2 linked regions of the Arabidopsis thaliana genome follow. The protein of the gene in region 2 interacts with the protein of the main gene of each other region in a pairwise test. Each region holds a gene or a part of one and is shown on either strand. Other genes may lie near its edges.

Region 1 (4,505 bases), on a different chromosome or scaffold from region 2:
TTTCAAATGAACATTTTCCTATGTAATTGGCCAGCGTTTTCTGCGGTGCCAAAGCTCATATTCTCTCGATCATCTAACTGTAAACCTTATTACTTAGCTCTGGCAGATGTTATTATCTTTGCCGGTTTGCTTCGAGGCTTTGTGCTTCTAATTTAATCAAGTGTCGACATAATTGGAAAAAAAAACGAGTAAAATGCAAATAAATAACGATCACATATATAAAGAAGTAATTAAACTCTTTTGGCTAGTTATTTCGTGTGTTCTTCGTTTTTTTCCAATTTGCTTGGCGAATTTTCTTGTGAAGAAAATACTTGTTAAGAGATTTGAATAATTGAACGCGACCAAAGAAGAGTATGAGAATTGAAAATATCGACACGAACATTGATGAAGTGGGTCCAACACTCCCAGTACCAGTCTATTCGGGCTATTCCTATCTACGAAGAATCGGATTGCTTCCGTCGTTTATTGTTTAGATTTATCAAAGAGCCAGCCACCCGACGAATCACGACGACTCTTCTTCCCCCCTTTAAGGATGTTGACACCGTGTCGTTTTGTCACCTTATAGAGTTATAGTCATTCAGACGCCGTGCCGTTTTATCAGTTAGAGTTATTTTCTTCATGTTGAACCTTTTTTTGTCAGCCCGTTTTATCCCACGTTGAAGTTTCAATTAGCTTATTTTAAAAAATATTAGATCGGAGTATCTTTTGTCTAATTAACCAAAACTCCAAGTTACTACATTTATATGCAAATACATGAATGGGTCATAGTAATCACAAAACTATTGTTTTAATAAACCAAATATATGCGTTAAAGATGTTTACAGCTTTATACATATGGCGGACACTAGAACTAGTCCAACCTGCATGGAACATGCTACTAATTCCCTAAATATTGTATTATTCCGTATTCAATTTTGTACAGCTACGAAAAATAGAGTATTGTACATAAATGTCCATACGTTACAGATTAAATTAGTAAGCAAAAATGCTTTGATTAACGAGTATACGCTTTTGAGTACGGAGACAACATTTCGTTTCTTTATGTCACACGCGTTAAGAAGTTTAATAAAGATCATATATAATTACGACAAATATCTGTATATATTGTAGCTATATTTATAAAAACATATAACTTTGGTCATCGGTAATAGTTTAAAGATGTCGAGTATCAATACAGATTTAAATATGGCCGACCAAAGATAGACACACACATACAGACAACAACAAGCCAAATAAGAATCAAATAAATTTTTGTCAAAAAAAAGGGAAATTCTACAAGTGAAATTAGAGAAATTATCTAGAAGGATTTTAGAGGAAAGACTCCAAGGCATTAGTCTTTGAGCTGGATTTGGATTTCATTTTAATAAAACATAAATTAATCTTTAAACGCTATTATGTGCTTGGATTATGTACCACATAATGCGAAGGAAACATCTTTGTAGTTTTGCGTTCTTCATATAATAATATTTTGCCGTCGTGTATGTGTAGTATACATATATTCATCACTTTAGTATACAAGTTGCCACAAAGTTCTGTTGTTTATAATAAAACCAAAAAAAAAGAACAAGTTCTGTTGTTTATAATAAAACCAAAAAAAAAAAAAACAAGTTCTGTTGTTTGGAATTAGGAGATCGATTTAAATTTTTACAAAGCAAAAGGGTGTGTGTGGTCCGATTAATATTTTAGTATATGAGAAAAAGAAAGGGTGTGATCTAAATTATAGATTCAGAAGGTCCATTCAAAAAGTACAGTCTTTTATGTGTAGGTTTTAAGTTTTTTCATTATTCTTAAACGAACAAATGATAGATTAATTTTATTCTGTTTTTTGTTGTGCGCACTAGTAAGTGTATACTCTATAGCATTAGATAGAAAACAGAGTAACATGTCAAAACAACATCCAAAATCTAAAATCAGTATTAGTCGAAAGGCCTAATTCGATATTCGGTAGTATATTTTACCGTCTATGTTTAGATATATAATCTGTTGTTGACTGGAATTCGAATGCTAAATTACTAAACCTGACCAGAAAAATATCAGGAGAAAATGAACTTGGATATGACATCCATCAACTTGTCCCAATTGGTCCAAAGTCTCCATCTTTAAATACAAGACACAACCATTAACCGTTTTTGCCCATACTAACTCAAATTCCGTTATCTTCATTTTATTTGATTTAAACTATAAAATATACAACACAAAAATTATATTAAAAAAAGAAAGAAACGATGAATGAATCAACAAGTTTTCTAGAAACACTTATCTTCAAATATCTATAAAGCGGCACACTCTCCTCTTTCCCATCATCATCATCATCTTCTTCAACCTTGTCTCGATCCAAAATTTCATCTTTTACCAAAACTATTACAATATCCCTCACTCTACTTGTAAAGCTTCAATCTTCTTCACTTCTCAACAAACAGATAAACAAAAAGCTTCAATCTTTGATACTTTCTCGATGGAACTTATCCCCAATCTTCCCGACGACGTTGCTCGCGAGTGTCTCCTTCGCTCCTCCTACCAACAGTTCCCTGTCATCGCCTCCGTTTGCAGAGCCTGGAACCGTGAAGTCTCTCTCTCTCAGTTTTTACATCAGCGAAAAGCTTCACGCCATAGCCAAGAGCTTCTTATTCTGTCTCAGGCTCGTGTCGACCCCGCTGGATCCGGAAAGATCATCGCTACGCCTGAATACCGGATCTCTGTTCTCGAATCCGGGTCGGGTCTTTGGACGGAGCTTCCTCCGATTCCTGGTCAAACCAAAGGACTTCCTCTGTTCTGCAGATTGGTTTCCGTTGGATCCGATCTTATTGTCTTGGGTGGGCTTGACCCGATTACGTGGCAGGCCCATGATTCGGTATTCGTCTTCAGTTTTCTCACTTCCAAATGGCGCGTGGGGGCAACCATGCCAGGTGTACGGAGGTCCTTCTTCGGATGCGCTTCGGATTCGGATCGGACGGTGCTGGTTGCGGGTGGACACAACGAAGAGAAATGTGCGCTTACGTCAGCTATGGTGTATGACGTGTCAGAAGACAAGTGGACGTTTTTGCCGGATATGGCGCGGGAACGAGACGAGTGCAAAGCGGTATTCCATGCTGGCAGATTCCACGTCATCGGTGGATATGCCACTGAGGAACAGGGGCAGTTTAGTAAAACAGCCGAATCGTTCGATGTGTCTACGTGGGAGTGGGGTCCACTTACGGAGGACTTCCTCGACGACACCGGCGATACCGTTAGCCCTCCGACCTGCGTCGCCGGTGGGGATTTGTACGCGTGCTGGGGTGGCGATGTGATGATGTTTCTAAATGACAAGTGGCAAAAGGTGGGCCAGATCCCTGCTGATGTGTACAATGTTACTTACGTAGCGGTGAGGCCCGGGATGCTGATTGTGATCGGCAACGGGAAGGCGTTGGCTGGATACGGTGAAGCCACCGTAGGGTATATATGTGATTTAAGTAGCTCACGATGGGTAAAATTGGAAACACACGGTGGTCATGTTCAAGCTGGCTGCTTCTTGGAGGTCTAATGGAAAACCTATTCATCTTTGGAGTTTGAACCTAAACCGCAACAAACCAATGGGTAGTCTCGTGTGTCAATCTACAAATCTTTTCATGAACAACAAAATAAAGAAATATTGTATTTATTCAGTGTCACTTTACCAAATATTTATGTTCTCTATACAAAACTTCAAAAGGAAGATTTGAACTTTTAGGTTCTCTATACAAAACTGATCTAATTATATAATTGCAAGCAAACAAACTTTCGAAACATGTGTCGACACAAAACTTTTAAAGTTTATTAAAGGAGCCTTGATTTTGGTATCCAAGAACTTTAATGGGTTTCATAGACTAGTCCTATTAATTTTTTTACTCGAGGCCCAAATAGACCAGATTTTGAATGATGAACTTTTGATCTTTAAATGGGCTTTTGGATGGGACTTGAGACAAATGGATGGCTAGGATTAGAGCAGAGGTTTGAAATATGGATTACACCTGAGGGGCAGAGTTCGAAGATAGACTGACAACAGACTTTAAAGAGAGATGCAGAGACACCCTCTGTTACAAGTAACATCTATTTAATATCGATACAAAAGAAAAGTGCATTATATTTTCAGCAGGAGAATTAAATCGTAGCCGTTGAATCTGCAGAGGAAATAGGCGCCGCTTCGTTCTGCGTCACAGCTTTGTCATTAAATCCAACGGCTGGCAGCTTTATGACACACACAAACAATTGAATTGGAGCAGTGTTAAACTGTACAGAGAATTTAGCTTCTTTAGTTTCTTTCTTAACCAAAAAGTCAACACATTTTTGTATCTATTATAAGTCGGCCTATTTAGCCTATCTTTTCATTCATCTCCATACACACATCATCAACTTTATTGTAAGGAAAAATTTAAGATACGAAGACGATTACGCTAGCTTGATCGTTGTAGACTTGTCAAAAAGTACTACTTTCCAAAAGAAAATTGAGCATTGTGGTTATATTATCTTTTTTCAAGAAATTTAGAAAC
Region 2 (4,542 bases):
CAGACACAACGTAATTTTGTTTATACTGTATCTTTTGTCTTTTATACATAAGATTACATACCTTTTCTTTTTGGAACTTTTACTAGGATAGTAGAAAAACAATGGTTTGCTCGTTTCTTTTTCAACACAACATTGGTTGTTCATAATTCTTAATATTCCCTTTTTATTAGTATAGATTTTAAATATATTAAAAAATGATAAAGCAGAATCTCAACCCAAAACAAAACCCTAAAATAAAACAAAACCACAAATCAAAACATTAACACGCTAAATAGAAGACCAAACTATATTAATAGTAGAAGGACAAAATCAAAGTGTTGGATTTAGTTTGTTACTTTTGTCCATCTCAATCCAATTTCTTCGACTTTGTGGGTGCCACAATTTCGACTTCAACGGGAAATATGAGTATCATCCCAACTGAGAAAAGGACCCAACAAACCCTGATCACAAAAGTCAACAAAATAACAATTTTGGTTTGCTCTTTAAACAAAGAGAGCATAAGATCAGCTACCATAGATAGGAGTGCCAACTGGATGATGAGTACTAGTTTTTTTTTTTGCGAAGAGTTTAATTCCTTCAAGTTTACTGTGTTGCCTACGACGCCTTAAATAACACTTCATGTAAGGGTAACTTAAAATTATCCACTCCCTAGTGAATTCTGCGGCAATGGAGGTCGTCAACGTGAAGAATAAAATTAGAGAGAAAATTTTCGGCCCACTTCCAGGTTCAGTAAAGGACTCAAATAAATCAAAAGGCGGAGACGACATATGGGTGAAACCTGTCGTTGATAGAGGAAAAGACGTTGTTAGAACCATAAATAATTCATACAATTTGGAGAAGCTGACGGAACATACCTGTGCAATTCATTAGTTTAAGCAGTTTCTGTCGGTTTTTAGTTAGAAATTACAGAATACAGATGGTTTAACTTCGTCTTTATACAATTTTATAATAAGGTGCACATGTGGTTGGATACATTATATCGTATCGAGCGAATCTTTCCTTAAAAAGGAAATATACGTCAAATATGTAAAGATTTGGCTTATATTATGTACATGTGAAAATTTGGAAAACACACTTTTTCGTGTATATATTTCTTTTTGCAATTGTTATACATATATCCTCTTAAGCTTTTACATTAGTACATGTGAAGTATTTGGAAAGTTTAACGACCGGTTTATCTATATGGAAACAAATTATATTTTTCCTTTTCTAGTACAGAGACACGCCTTCTTACACAATTTAACTATAAAGTTCATAAATGACATTCAACTTCGTTTTTATGTGTTTTGTTTTAAATTAATTTTATTCCCTTTGTCCATCAATAAGTATTTTATAAATTTCAAAGACTTAACATTAGTCTCGCTGCTGGAAACTCTGGTTTTGAACCTCCTCAATAGTCATCTGTCCACTTCTCAACTCAACATGCATCAGGGCACTTTCCTTGTTTCTCAAGAAACTCCATATCCTTGTCTCCATAATTAAATCTGCGGCTCATTACGATCAGGGCTCGTGACTAAGGCTCAATCTTAATAAGCATTGTCCCTTGATAACGTGCCCTCTAAGTAATAGCCTAAACGGCTGAACGTAAACAGGAAAGTCGAAACAGAGTGGAAGAAGAAGAAATCTTTATATTGTTGACTATAGTTACTACCATAACTGATACCATTGTTTACCATTCATAGCCCTTATTTCAGCCAGTTTCTTCATGGAACTCTCTCTCATTTCCCTATGATGTCGAAAAACTGGGCACAAATTGATGTCAGAAGCTGAAGTTCCTCAACAGGAATTACATTTCACAATAACAATGAGGACTCAAGTTTCATGTTTTAGTCAAACAGTAAACACGAAACGGAGCTAAAGAGAGAAACGCCAACAATACTCTTTTGTTTCTTTTTTTTCTTTTGTTATTTTCCTTAACTCATTTTTTTCGATTTTTAATTCAAAATAATATATGGATAACTATATATATTTTTTTAAAAAGTCTATACCTAACAATTAATAACAGTATATATACTTTCCAATATTCAACTTTTCGCACGTGATCCATATATATGCATACCTAGTTTTTCGCACGCTCATAAACCCCTCTATTCTCTCTTCCTTCTTCAATTCAATCTCTATCTCTTTCCTTGCGCTTCAAGCATTCATAGATTAGATTTTCTATCTTTAATGTCAGTTTTTTCGAACATACTCGATGAGAACTCTCGCAACTTGCGAAACGAAATACCTTGTGATGATGGAATTGCATCTCCCATCAACGACGACGACGAAGAGTTCTTGACTAAAAGTAATAGGGTTCTTTTGGTCGGTGCAGATTCCAATTCGTCTTTGAAGAATCTCATGACACAGTATTCCTATCAAGGTATCTAGGTAGATTGAGTTAGTTTTTTTTTTTTTTATGTTTCTTTGACGAATTAAGGTTGGTTAGGGTTTTACGTTACTTTTTTTTTTTCGGTAATTGAGGGGTTTACATTAATTGCGGTCTATGGTTATGCTTAATTTCGTGTTTCAGTAACGAAATATGAGAGCGGAGAAGAGGCCATGGCTTTCTTGATGAAGAATAAGCATGAGATCGATCTAGTGATTTGGGATTTCCATATGCCCGATATCAATGGACTCGACGCTCTCAATATCATTGGTAAACAGATGGATTTACCCGTAGTAAGTAAGTATATATCCCTTATTAATTATACCAATATTTTTTATTGTATTCTTCTCGATATATATAACGTAACGTAGTAAGACATTCTCTAATCTTTAATATGATCCAATGTGAAATTATTCATGTCAAGTCATGTCTCATGAATACAAGAAGGAAACGGTGATGGAATCGATTAAGTACGGTGCGTGTGACTTTCTTGTGAAGCCGGTGAGCAAAGAGGTCATTGCAGTTCTATGGCGACATGTTTATCGAAAAAGGATGTCAAAATCTGGTTTAGATAAACCGGGTGAATCAGGTACGGTTGAATCAGATCCGGACGAATACGACGATTTAGAGCAAGACAATCTCTATGAGAGCAACGAAGAAGGCTCCAAAAACACTTGCGATCACAAAGAAGAGAAGTCTCCGACCAAGAAACCGCGGATGCAATGGACTCCTGAACTTCACCACAAATTTGAAGTAGCCGTCGAAAAAATGGGCAGCCTTGAGAGTAATTAATTACACTAATTAATCTTGCGTGAATAAGCAAGTTACTTGATTATTATCTGACCTTTTAATTGCATTTTGCAGAGGCTTTTCCAAAGACGATTCTCAAATATATGCAAGAAGAATTGAATGTCCAGGGGCTCACTAGAAACAACGTAGCCAGTCATCTCCAGGTAATTTTGGATCTTTATTCTATTTTAGGGTTTTCTTGTTTCTTAGTGGACAAGAAACCAGTAATAAGGGCTATAACAATTTAAAACGATTCCGATGGCAGAAGTACCGTCAAAGTTCCAAAAAGACCTGCACTCCTCAGGAGCCTCAAGAAGATTTTGTCTGGGGTAATGCTGGGCCAGATGTCACTCTTGCAGCCTCTAAAACGCTCCTAAGCTCCCATGCTACACCATCGTATTTGATAAACAATCAAGCTGCGCCTAGAGGATCATATTTCATGAACAATATCCCGTATCCATCAACCAGTTGCCTGCCAGTGAACAACAACAACTGCTTCATGACCAACCCTTCCACTTATATTGACCAATTCCAGCACCAGCTGCAGCAGCAGCAGCAACATCAACAGTACCAGTCTACTCTAAATAGTATATCTGCCATGCTAACCAAGCAAGAATCTAGACACGTGCCATCATCAGCCATGGAAAATTCCGAGCCGCTCATGATCTATAATTCAAATCTACCTTTCGGTATCGACGAGTGTTTCCCACCTGCAGGATTCAACATTTTCGATCAGATTGGTCACAATTGATTATCCAATCTAAGGTGATGAATCCATCTATATATCTATCTATCCTAGTTTTTTGTGTCTCTCTCTTTTAATCCCTCAAACGCGAATAGCAATACCTTGTTGCTATATGCCTTTGTTATAAGCACTAGGTTTTTTTTTTTAAACTTTGGTCAAACCTATGGTTTAATAGTGAGATCTATATAATCACTTGCGTAGATATAAAGTTGATTTAGGGCGTGGGTAATCTCAATGTCAACATGGACACTACTCACTGTGTTTGGATTAGTATGTAGTTTTGTATTCGAACGCTCAGAGGCTTTTTTTTAAGGTTTTTTTACAGTCGACGATATTGTTACAGAAACTAAACGATATTTTATTTCTCTGTTTTCATTAAAACTATATAGGCTATGTAACTACAACAATAAAATTTGCGATTTCATTTTAGTATCCAAATTTTGTATATGTTAACTTCTGAGCATAATGAAATTTCAAGTACCTACCATGGAAATGTCAGTTTAGGATATTATGGGCCTTGCGAGATATTAATATTTTGAAGTTAAAAATAAATAGTCTGAAACAGTGGCATATGTGTTATTTGGAATTTAACACAAATTTTCACGATTAAGCACTTATATTATTTTTTGTGATTCAAAAA

The links.
Region 1: the proteins of RR20 (region 2) and AT1G80440 interact in a two-hybrid assay, tested with the Arabidopsis thaliana proteins (one study listed by BioGRID).

What each region holds. Positions count from the first base shown.
Region 1 is NC_003070.9:30,239,308-30,243,812, forward strand, and holds AT1G80440 (Galactose oxidase/kelch repeat superfamily protein), read left to right. Parts: upstream 1-2,144; 5' UTR 2,145-2,455; coding exon 2,456-3,520; 3' UTR 3,521-3,869; downstream 3,870-4,505.
Region 2 is NC_003074.8:23,175,922-23,180,463, reverse strand, and holds RR20 (two-component response regulator), read left to right. Parts: upstream 1-2,169; coding exon 2,170-2,362; intron 2,363-2,512; coding exon 2,513-2,665; intron 2,666-2,792; coding exon 2,793-3,152; intron 3,153-3,232; coding exon 3,233-3,321; intron 3,322-3,422; coding exon 3,423-3,908; downstream 3,909-4,542. UniProt on the Arabidopsis thaliana protein: Putative transcriptional activator that binds specifically to the DNA sequence 5'-[AG]GATT-3'. Functions as a response regulator involved in His-to-Asp phosphorelay signal transduction system.